Linked DNA regions of Oryctolagus cuniculus. The protein of the gene in region 1 interacts with the protein of each later gene in a biochemical or structural test. Links are inferred from orthologs where the notes say so. Each region holds a gene or a part of one and is shown on either strand. Other genes may lie near its edges.

Region 1 (4,564 bases):
TATTACAAGTTGAATGGTAATTGTCTGATGTAGCCTTAAAATTGTACATGCTATACTCTATGACCACATTACTGAAGCCTAATCTTTTAAAACAAACCATTTCTGTGAATACACTTTCAGCATATCTCACTTATGTTCTCTGGGCTGTATTTGTATCTGATTTCTTCTAAGGTATAAAGTCTTCTAGGAACAAGCAAGACTATGCACAATAGAAGTATAATTGGATTAATATGAAACATTTGTACACTTGCTCAAATAGACCCCATGGGAGATAAGGAACTAGGAAAAAAGACTTTGAGATCATATAAAACTTAACAAGCTATAATAAATGAGGCATCTTTAAGAGAATTCCTAGTAATTCCAAAAGGAAAAAAAGGTCCAAAAAGAACAGGCAATGTTGGGATACAGAGTATCTTCATTGTTTCAAAAATGTAAATCGACTTGTTTTCAGAATACAAGGTTCATTTAGTTAGAAAATTTTTTTTTTTTTTTTTTTTTTATTTTTTTATTTTTTTTTTTTTTTTTTTTTTGACAGGCAGAGTGGACAGTGAGAGAGAGAGACAGAGAGAAAGGTCTTCCTTTGCCGTTGGTTCACCCTCCAATGGCCGCCGCTGCAGCCGGCGCACCGCGCTGATCCTGGCAGGAGCCAGGAGCCAGGTGCTTTTCCTGGTCTCCCATGGGGTGCAGGGCCCAAGCACCTGGGCCATCCTCCACTGCACTCCCTGGCCATAGCAGAGAGCTGGCCTGGAAGAGGGGCAACCGGGACAGAATCCGGCGCCCCAACCGGGACTAGAACCCGGTGTGCCGGCGCCGCAAGGTGGAGGATTAGCCTATTGAGCCACGGCGCCGGCTCAGTTAGAAAATTTTTGACAGTTGAGTTGATCAAGATTTTAACTTCTATTATACACACACTCAAAAGCATGAGCTTATTTTACATATCCATTTCTTGTATCTCTGCAACAACAGTACCTAGCAGTAGTCTCACAAAAATGTTCCCTACAAGTTCAAAACAGCATCTACAACTCAAAGTTTTCTACAGGTTCATTTTGGGGTGGGGGTGGGGAATGCTTAGATGCTAGAGTTTGCTGTTCTTTTCTTTAATGCATTTACTTAGCTAAAGAGCAAAAGAAGGGAAAAAAAATCACAGAACACACCTACTTACCTTAAAGAGGGATTAACAAGGGAGCCCAACTAACCTGAACCTTATGTTAATACAAGTTAACTGTAAGGCAATTTACTAGGAAACGATGAGTCAACCAAGGCAACCAAGACTACTACTATAAAAAAAAATAAAAGCACTTTAGTTTTAGCTTATGACTTGAAAACAAAAAGCTAAAATAAAAATAAAACACAGCTTTCTGTCAGATAGTTCAAGCTTAAAGAGCACTGTTAGAAATCCTAAGGCTGAGGGAAATGAATTTTTTAAAAACCACCCACCAAACAACTTGAAAACATGGGTGCAATCTTCTTGTGAAGTCCAACAGACATCACAGTACTTTTGTTTCCTGTATAAGGCTCATTCAGTTAGAAAAGTTTCGAGAGTTGAGTTGATTGAGATTTTAACTTGTGTTATACACATACGCAAAAGCATGAGCTTATTTTTGCTATCAATATCATCAAATGCTGCTACCCAGTAAGGATAACAGGTGACACAAGTGGGGTCTGAGAACAGGAAGACAGGGCTAACAAGTCTGGAAAGAAAAAGAAAAAAAAAAAAGCATCTACACTCCTAAATCTGACATCTTCTGGAGAACCGAGTTTACACGAATCACTACTGCTGGGGATTGCACCTCAACACAAAAAGTCTATGATATCAAAATATTAATAAGACACTTACTATAAAGCAGTCTGGGGGTAAAGATCTGGTGCTAAGCTAAACTGTTCCTAACGTTTATTAAAATAAATTTCCCACTTGGAAAGAGAAAGGCAATGAAGTCTATCAAAGCATTTTACTAAGCACAAATGGAGAACTATGTAGAAAGAGGAAGCATTATGAAATGTATGACTAAGTGTGTTTTGTGGAAGACCAGTGGACGTTTTGAAAACTTTTTTGTTTTCTGGCTCTATGAGTATACAAAAGTCAAAATTAAAGCGTTTTCCACCTTACACACATTCCAAGGCTCACTCCATTTTCATCATTGCTTCCGGGTAACTAGACGAGGAGGAAGAGCAACGCTGGACTTTAAACTTAGTAATTGAGAAAATTCACCCGGCCAATCTGTCATGAGGCACCAGAGATTTACCGGGGAAAGCAGACAAGAGAAAACAGCCACAGAACACAAGCCGCGAAAGAGATGAGTATCAGCCCCATGTGTAACTCGACCACTGGGCAAAAGCCCGCTCGGCGCGGCCGCTGGGATAAGGTGATTTGAGATTCAGGGCATTCTGGGCTTCTTCCCTCCCTGGAGTCCATCCTCAGACGGGAAGTCAGGCCCGTCAGGGTGTGGAGCTGAGGCATGCCCCAGGGGTCCATCGAGTTGGACTAGGAACTCGGAAGCCCCTTCCAGCGCCTGGCACCCTACTTCACGCCCACCTCCCACCCCACCCCCAAGTGGTGCCGATTTCAGCTGCCGGCTATCGGGAGAGAGCGGGCGGCAGGCAGCAGTTGGGTCGGCCCCCCCGAGCGCTGCGGAGTCGTAAGGGACCCCCGCCGAGCGGCTGCAAGACTTGCGTTACCTTCTCACGCTGGTCCCAGCTGTACTGCTTTGGCTGCTCCTCCTCGCTCTCGGGCCGCGACTCCTTCTCAGTCTTCCGCCTCTTGGAGAAGAAGCAGCCCATGGTCCCGTCCTGTGGACCTAGCTGGCCGGCTCACTTAGGAACTTCTTGAGGTGTGCGGTGAACCCTGGCGTCCCGGACCCCGCAGCTCGTTGGACACCGCCCAGCGGTCCGCAGCCTCACTTCGCCCGCCAGGCCCAGCACCCCTTCTCTTTTTCCCCTCGGTCTCCCGGACGACCCAACCCAACCAATAGCCACTGAGCGCCCGTTGAACCAATCAGAGTCCCGCTTGCGGCTCTCCGCGGCCTATGAAGAGAGGCCGACGTACTCACACACCAATCCACGCCCGGGCTCTTTCGTCAGCTCCCGGCGGCGGGGCTGGCCCTCTCTGGCGCACGTACAGATGGCCCCACCCCCAGCTCAACCTCGTCCCGCCCCCCTCGTCCCCCTCGCCTCTGCCCCGCCCCGCCCCGGGATTCGGTGGGGTTCTGTCTGTGGGGAGGCTGAGCTCCCTATCCGGGTCTTTTTGCCCCTAGTTCTGTTTCCAAGCTCTAGACCCGGGCAGGATGCTTAAGTTAAACCATAGACTTGTTTTATGATGCAAGTTATAAGGGAACAAGAATTCTTGCTGGCCTGAAATTCGTGTCCTCTTCTGCTCATTCCTCTTCTCATCACAGTCCTTACATCCCCTGGCCAGAGCTGCCCCCTTAGGAGTCTTCTCCCAGAACCCCCTCCACCCTCTTCTGTGCTTTCTTGAGACATCCAGGCAGCGCTCTAAAAGTGCAGAGATACTTAGTAAAATAATTAAGTGTGGTCTCCCTATTAGAACGGTGAATTTCTTGAGACTGAAAGGCATGTCTTAAGGACATACACCTTCGAACCCTCTAGCCTGGCCGAAGTCCATGCTAAGTGTTCCATAAAACAGTTGTCAAATGACTCCATGACTGAATGCTGTGCACAATAAGGAAAGAAGCATTTATAACTTTTCCCCTATCCATTCTCAAAAAAGTGATCAAAGGAGGGGGAGGGGAGCATGTGACATGGTAAAGATTCTTTTCAAGGAGTTTATAGCCTACTTGTGGACATTAGCATTGCTATACAATCAGATCCGTTCTAAGCAGATGGTATAGGAGTTGTCCAAAAGTACTTTACAAATATGAGTATTGACATCAAATATTTACATCTGTTATACTTGGCTTGAATTTCACTACAATGCACACATATTGCTTATGTAACAGAAATTGTAAATTGCTTTTTCTGAGGTATAGTATTTTTACATCTTGCTAGGACATCAAATGCAGATCAGTTCAGATTCAAATTTGATTATCGTGGAGCCTGCATCGTGGTGTAGTAGGCTAAGCCTCCACCTGCAGCGCCAGCATCTCATAAAGGCTCAGGTTCATATCCTGGCTGCTTCTCTTCTGATCCAGCTCTCTGCTATGGCCTGGGAAAGCAGTAGAAGATGGCCCAAGTCCTTGGGCCCCTGCACCTGCATGGGAGACCCGGAAGAAGCTCCTGGCTCCTGGCTTCAGATTGGCACAGCTCTGGCTGTTGCAGCCAACTGGGGAGTGGACCAGCAGATGGAAGGCCTCTCTCTGTCTCTCCCTCTATCTGTAACTGCACCTCTTCAAATAAATAAAAACAGTCTGATTATCTTTTTACTTTCTCAGTTACTCACATCTAGTGTGTATCCTAAATGAGCCTCTGACTTAAGCATTAAGAATGTTCCCCTTTTCACTTCCTGTCCTTTATTGCACAGTTAGAAGAAAAGTACATGTGGTTGTATTAGAAATTACTGTAAATTTAAGTTCCAGTTCTTAGGCAATAAGGTCTTTGCCAGTGCTTGGTG
Region 2 (4,506 bases), on another chromosome or scaffold:
AGAGCTGGGTTGGAATTGGAGCAGCCGGGACTTGAACCGGCACCCATATGGGATGCCGGCACTGCAAGCTGGGGCTTTAACCCAATGCACCATAGCCCCTGGCTTTCGACTCCAGCTAGCTCCCAGGTGGGAATCCTGTATTGAGTTCCTGGCTCTGGGCTTCCAATCAGCCCAGGGCCATCTTGCGCATTCTGGGAGTGAACCAATGGTTAGGTGTTCTTTCTCTTAAAAAAGAGCAAAGTAAGCCCTTAGATAGTGCTTCCTTTGCGGCAGGCAATGCTCTATGCATCTGACAGATAATATTCATAATTCACATTACCCTCACTAGAAACCGCTGAGGTCACAGGCACACACACGCACATTAGCAAGCTTCCAGATGTATCATTTGCCCCCAGACTTTATCAGCTCTCCAAAAGCTCTTGGTTTCCATCTGTGATGTGTCCCTCCCACCTGAACAACTGTGTTTAGGAGCAAAGTAAACAAGTGTGTCCAAGTCGGTCCAAGTCCAAACTCGCCATCTGCAACAATCAATTTCTGGAGTTGTGCGGTGAAAAGCAGTTCTCTAGGAAAGGCGACATTTCCATGAGGGCAGACTGTCCACCGCAGTGTGCCGAGATGCGGGCCTACCACTAATGCACGTGCTGAGACTTACACGGACGGGGTGGGGGCGGCGCTTCCCAGCTCACCCAGAACCCGTCTCTCTGCCCCCTGAAGGGAAGTGCAGGCCCGTTTTTGCCTCCAGGTCCCAGCTCGGGGTTTAGAGCGGTCAGGAGGCTGCCCCCGGCCCTCCGACCAGGAACCTTCACCCGCAGGGACTCCCTGTGGAGACGACTGCACAGCCCCTAACCCCCACCCTTCTGCCCGGCGCTCCATGGCAGCTAGAATCCGAGCAGTGGCATCTGCGAGCAGCTCTAGGCCACTCCTTGAACCACGTGGCTTCTGCAGGTAGAAGTCTAGCCCCCACCCCAGCCCAGCGCAGGCGGAGTCAGGACAGAACTCCCAGCCCTCCCGGGACGTGGCGACTGCAAACCGCTGGGCAGCCTCCGCTCAAGACCCTTTACCTGGCCGCAAGAGGGATGCCTGACACAGCCGCCGCCAGATGTAGCCAGCCGCTGCAAGCCGGGCCAGGGTGCTCCGCCTGCCAGGGCCAAGGGACCGCCTTCTCGCCCGCCCACGCCCCTCCTCCTGGCCAATCAGGCACCGGGAGGCTCCCGCCAGCCACGTGGGCGAGTTTTCGCCGTTCCCTGGGTCTCCAGCCCCCTCTGCAGCGACCCCGCCCGCGCAGGGGCGGGCACCTCGGCGCGCTTGCGCACTTTGGAGAAAGCGAAGCCGGACCCCGCCCAATACGGCGGCTTTGCTCCTCCGCTGTGCGTGCGAGGGACGTCGGGGGCGGCGCCGCGGCAGTTGCCCCTGGTAACGGGGGAGGCTGCAGGAGGAGGAGGAGGAGGAGGAGGAGGAGGAGGAGGAGGGATTCGGCGGGAGGATGGTGAGTGTGGGGACCCGGGCCCCTCTGCACCCGGCCGATCACCCCCCTCCCCGCTCCAGGCCCAGGGCGGAGCCCCGCGCTTAAAGCCGAGGAGGAGATGGGAAGGCGCTCAGCCTGCAGTGTGGGTTCTGGATTCGCTTTGAGGGGCGGCGGGAAGCCCCGAGGGTGGGCCCAGAAGGGAGGCCTGGGCTTAGGGAGGAAGGCGGGGCTTGCGACGGGTCCGAGGCTTGGGGAAGGGGCTGGCAGAGTTGGTGGCTGGCCGGGTACCGAGCCCAGGCTCCATCAGTGCCCTGGTGGCAGGGATGAGGGCAGATCCGGGGAGCTGCGGAGCAGCCGCCTCCGCACGCAGGCTTGGATCACCCTGAGACTCGGCCTCCTCGCGCTGCAGGACGGGGTCCGGGCCCGCAGCGGGGAGAAGGTGGGCCCGCGGCGCCGGGGGACGGTAGCCGGGCTTGGGCCCCCGGGGTCCGATTCCCAGGACAAAACGAGGTGCGGTTGGGATGCCTGGTGGGTTCCACGCAGTGTCGGCGGCTGCGTGGCGGGGGCGCTTCTGAAATCCCGAGCTATTTATTCATTTGCTCAGAGTTCCACAAGATCCGGTTGCTGATGACCGACGATTCGTTCAGTCCTTAATCTGTGTGGATGGAAACAAATTGGCTTCCCGGCCCCTACCATCTCCTTGGAAACCTGTTGCAACCCCGTTTTGCATGTGGCCACACCGGGCCCCAAGGTCTTGATCCCCACGTGGGGTCTCCAACCCCACCTCCGGCAATGAGGGAGGGAAGCTAGAACTGGAGAATAGGCGTGAGTGGGGCGAGCGTTTCCTCTGTCAACCCTAATTAAGGCTGTGACAAATCGCACTTTTTGTGTGATGGATTTGACAGTTCCTTGTTGATTTCTGTGCGGTGGCATTGAGTGACTTTTGAGCTAGTCGTAGAAAAATCGATTTGTTAAAGATTTCGGAGCAGCTTGGTTGGTTTACCAAGTGCAAAAAATCCAGTAAAGGAAACTTGCAGTAACTTTCCACCCTGCCCCCTTGTTCCTTTCTGACCTTTCGAATGTTGAACCATTACTATTAATTTAAGAAGTAAGAAAAATCCAGATGACCGGGAGGAGAGAGTACATGTTTCCCTTTGGTCGATTATCCATTGAGTAAATTTTGATAGGAAGAAAGAGCCTCAGTTGATTTAACATTGTCATATCGCTCCCAAAGCAGAGCTACTTGATCTGACCTTGCCATCACACTTCGCACTTGCTACATTTGTAGCTTTTGAAACCTCAGGCTAAACAGATTTTTGCAAGTGTTTTCTTTTTAGTAATCATTTATACATGAGCAGTCCACTTGAAGGCTAGGTTTTTCTCAACCTATGAGTGCAAACATAAATATTTACACAGAAAATTCCTAAAATCGAAACAAAAAAAGGCATGTCAAACCACCAGAGAGTGAGATTTGTCATTATCGAGGACCGCACCAGGTGCACATTGGCACTGTATACAGATTGACAGTGTGTACACAACACTGTTGTATACAACTGTTGTCAATAATCAAAACAGATTGGGGGTTTGTCTCTTCCTTTTTTCTTAAAATGAACAATAAGAAAGTAGAACAAATTATTCTGGATTCTTTATCTGGTTACCAAATACACTTTTTTTTTGGTCTATTTCTAAAAGAGTGAGCTATTCTTAGGATTGGAAGTAGAACACTGAATTTAAATGGTCAGTGATGTAATTAAATATGTCACATCTGGTATCCCCAGGAGCCCCATGCTTCACTGTACAACTGAAAACTGAATTCCAGGTTTGGAGCTTTTTTTGTTTTGTTTTGACAGGCAGATCTTAGACAGTGAGAGAGAGAGACAGAGAAAGGTCTTCCTTCCGTTGGTTCACCCCCAAATGGCGCACTGCGCCAATCTGAAGCCAGGAGCCAGGTGCTTCTCCTGGTCTCCCATGGGGTGCAGGGCCCAAGCACTTGGGCCATCCTCCACTGCCTTCCCGGGCCACAGCAGAGAGCTGGACTGGAAGAGGAGCAACCAGGACAGAATCCGGTGCTCCATCCAGGACTAGAACCCGGGGTTCAGGTGCCACAGGCGGAGGATTAGCCAAGTGAGCCGTGGCGCTGGCCAGTTTTGAGCTTTTTTTAAATTTCAGCATCAACTGATATATTTAAAAAAAATTCAGGTTACTGCAACCATTATTGGTTTCTGTGAACATTTAGAGTCAGCTGCATTACTCTTGCCTTATGATACCAAGTTCTTGAAGAAGTACCAAGATGACAGTAATCTTAGCACATAACTAATCACTGTTATTTACTGTGTGACTCCATGCAGTAGCTATTTGGGGATTGCTTTCCACCCCTGTGGAGCTTGGGGCAGTTGTCAAGCTTATTCAACACTGAAAGCTTATTCCCAGCAGTGTTTAAGTTTTCTGGTCTGAAAATGGTCAGTTAAGGAACAAAAAGCCCGCAACTACTGTTGGGAGTGCCTACCATGTGGCATGCTTTCTATCTGTTACTTCATTTAATGCTCTTGGCATTTTTTTGGGGGGTGTGTCTATTGCTGTTCCCATTTCCTAGATGAAAAGATGCCCCAGGTTGTGTGTGCTTGGAGAGGGAAGTTGAATGAATACAAATCTGAAATCTTGAACCTCCTAGTGAGGCCCACCCTGGCTGAGGAGATGCCTGGGAAACCTTGTGTTGTTATTTAGTAGAGTGGTGATGAGAAAGATGACAAAATGTCAGTGAGATTTTCCCTTTCAAAGCTGTAGAAGTTTAAAGAAGTAAGAATAAGTAAGTAAAAATGGTCAGTTCCACTTAAGCTAGTCATTGGGAGGGGCCGTCTTTGAAAGTTGGCTTTGTAATTTCAATATGTAAAATGTTAGCTCATTTTCCATACTCCAACACATCCCTGTCCCCCTCCACCACTCCAGTCTCTTTGAGTGACCTAGTTTGTAGCATCATTTTAGGTCAGCGTGCCATGCCTCTGCCAGTAGCTGAGTTTAAGCTGATTTTAAGGCAGATAAAA

The links.
Region 2: the proteins of RP2 (region 1) and ARL3 form a complex in vitro, tested with the Homo sapiens proteins (2 studies listed by BioGRID). The link is inferred for Oryctolagus cuniculus from reciprocal best matches to the Homo sapiens genes RP2 and ARL3.

The regions. Positions count from the first base shown.
Region 1 is NC_091453.1:32,375,624-32,380,187, reverse strand, and holds the start of RP2 (protein XRP2), read right to left. Parts: upstream 2,965-4,564; 5' UTR 2,779-2,964; coding exon 2,677-2,778; intron 1-2,676. UniProt on the Homo sapiens protein: Acts as a GTPase-activating protein (GAP) involved in trafficking between the Golgi and the ciliary membrane.
Region 2 is NC_091446.1:27,272,324-27,276,829, forward strand, and holds the start of ARL3 (ADP-ribosylation factor-like protein 3), read left to right. Parts: upstream 1-1,474; 5' UTR 1,475-1,483; coding exon of another isoform or gene 1,484-1,486; 5' UTR 1,487-1,583; coding exon 1,584-1,607; intron 1,608-4,506. UniProt on the Homo sapiens protein: Small GTP-binding protein which cycles between an inactive GDP-bound and an active GTP-bound form, and the rate of cycling is regulated by guanine nucleotide exchange factors (GEF) and GTPase-activating proteins (GAP).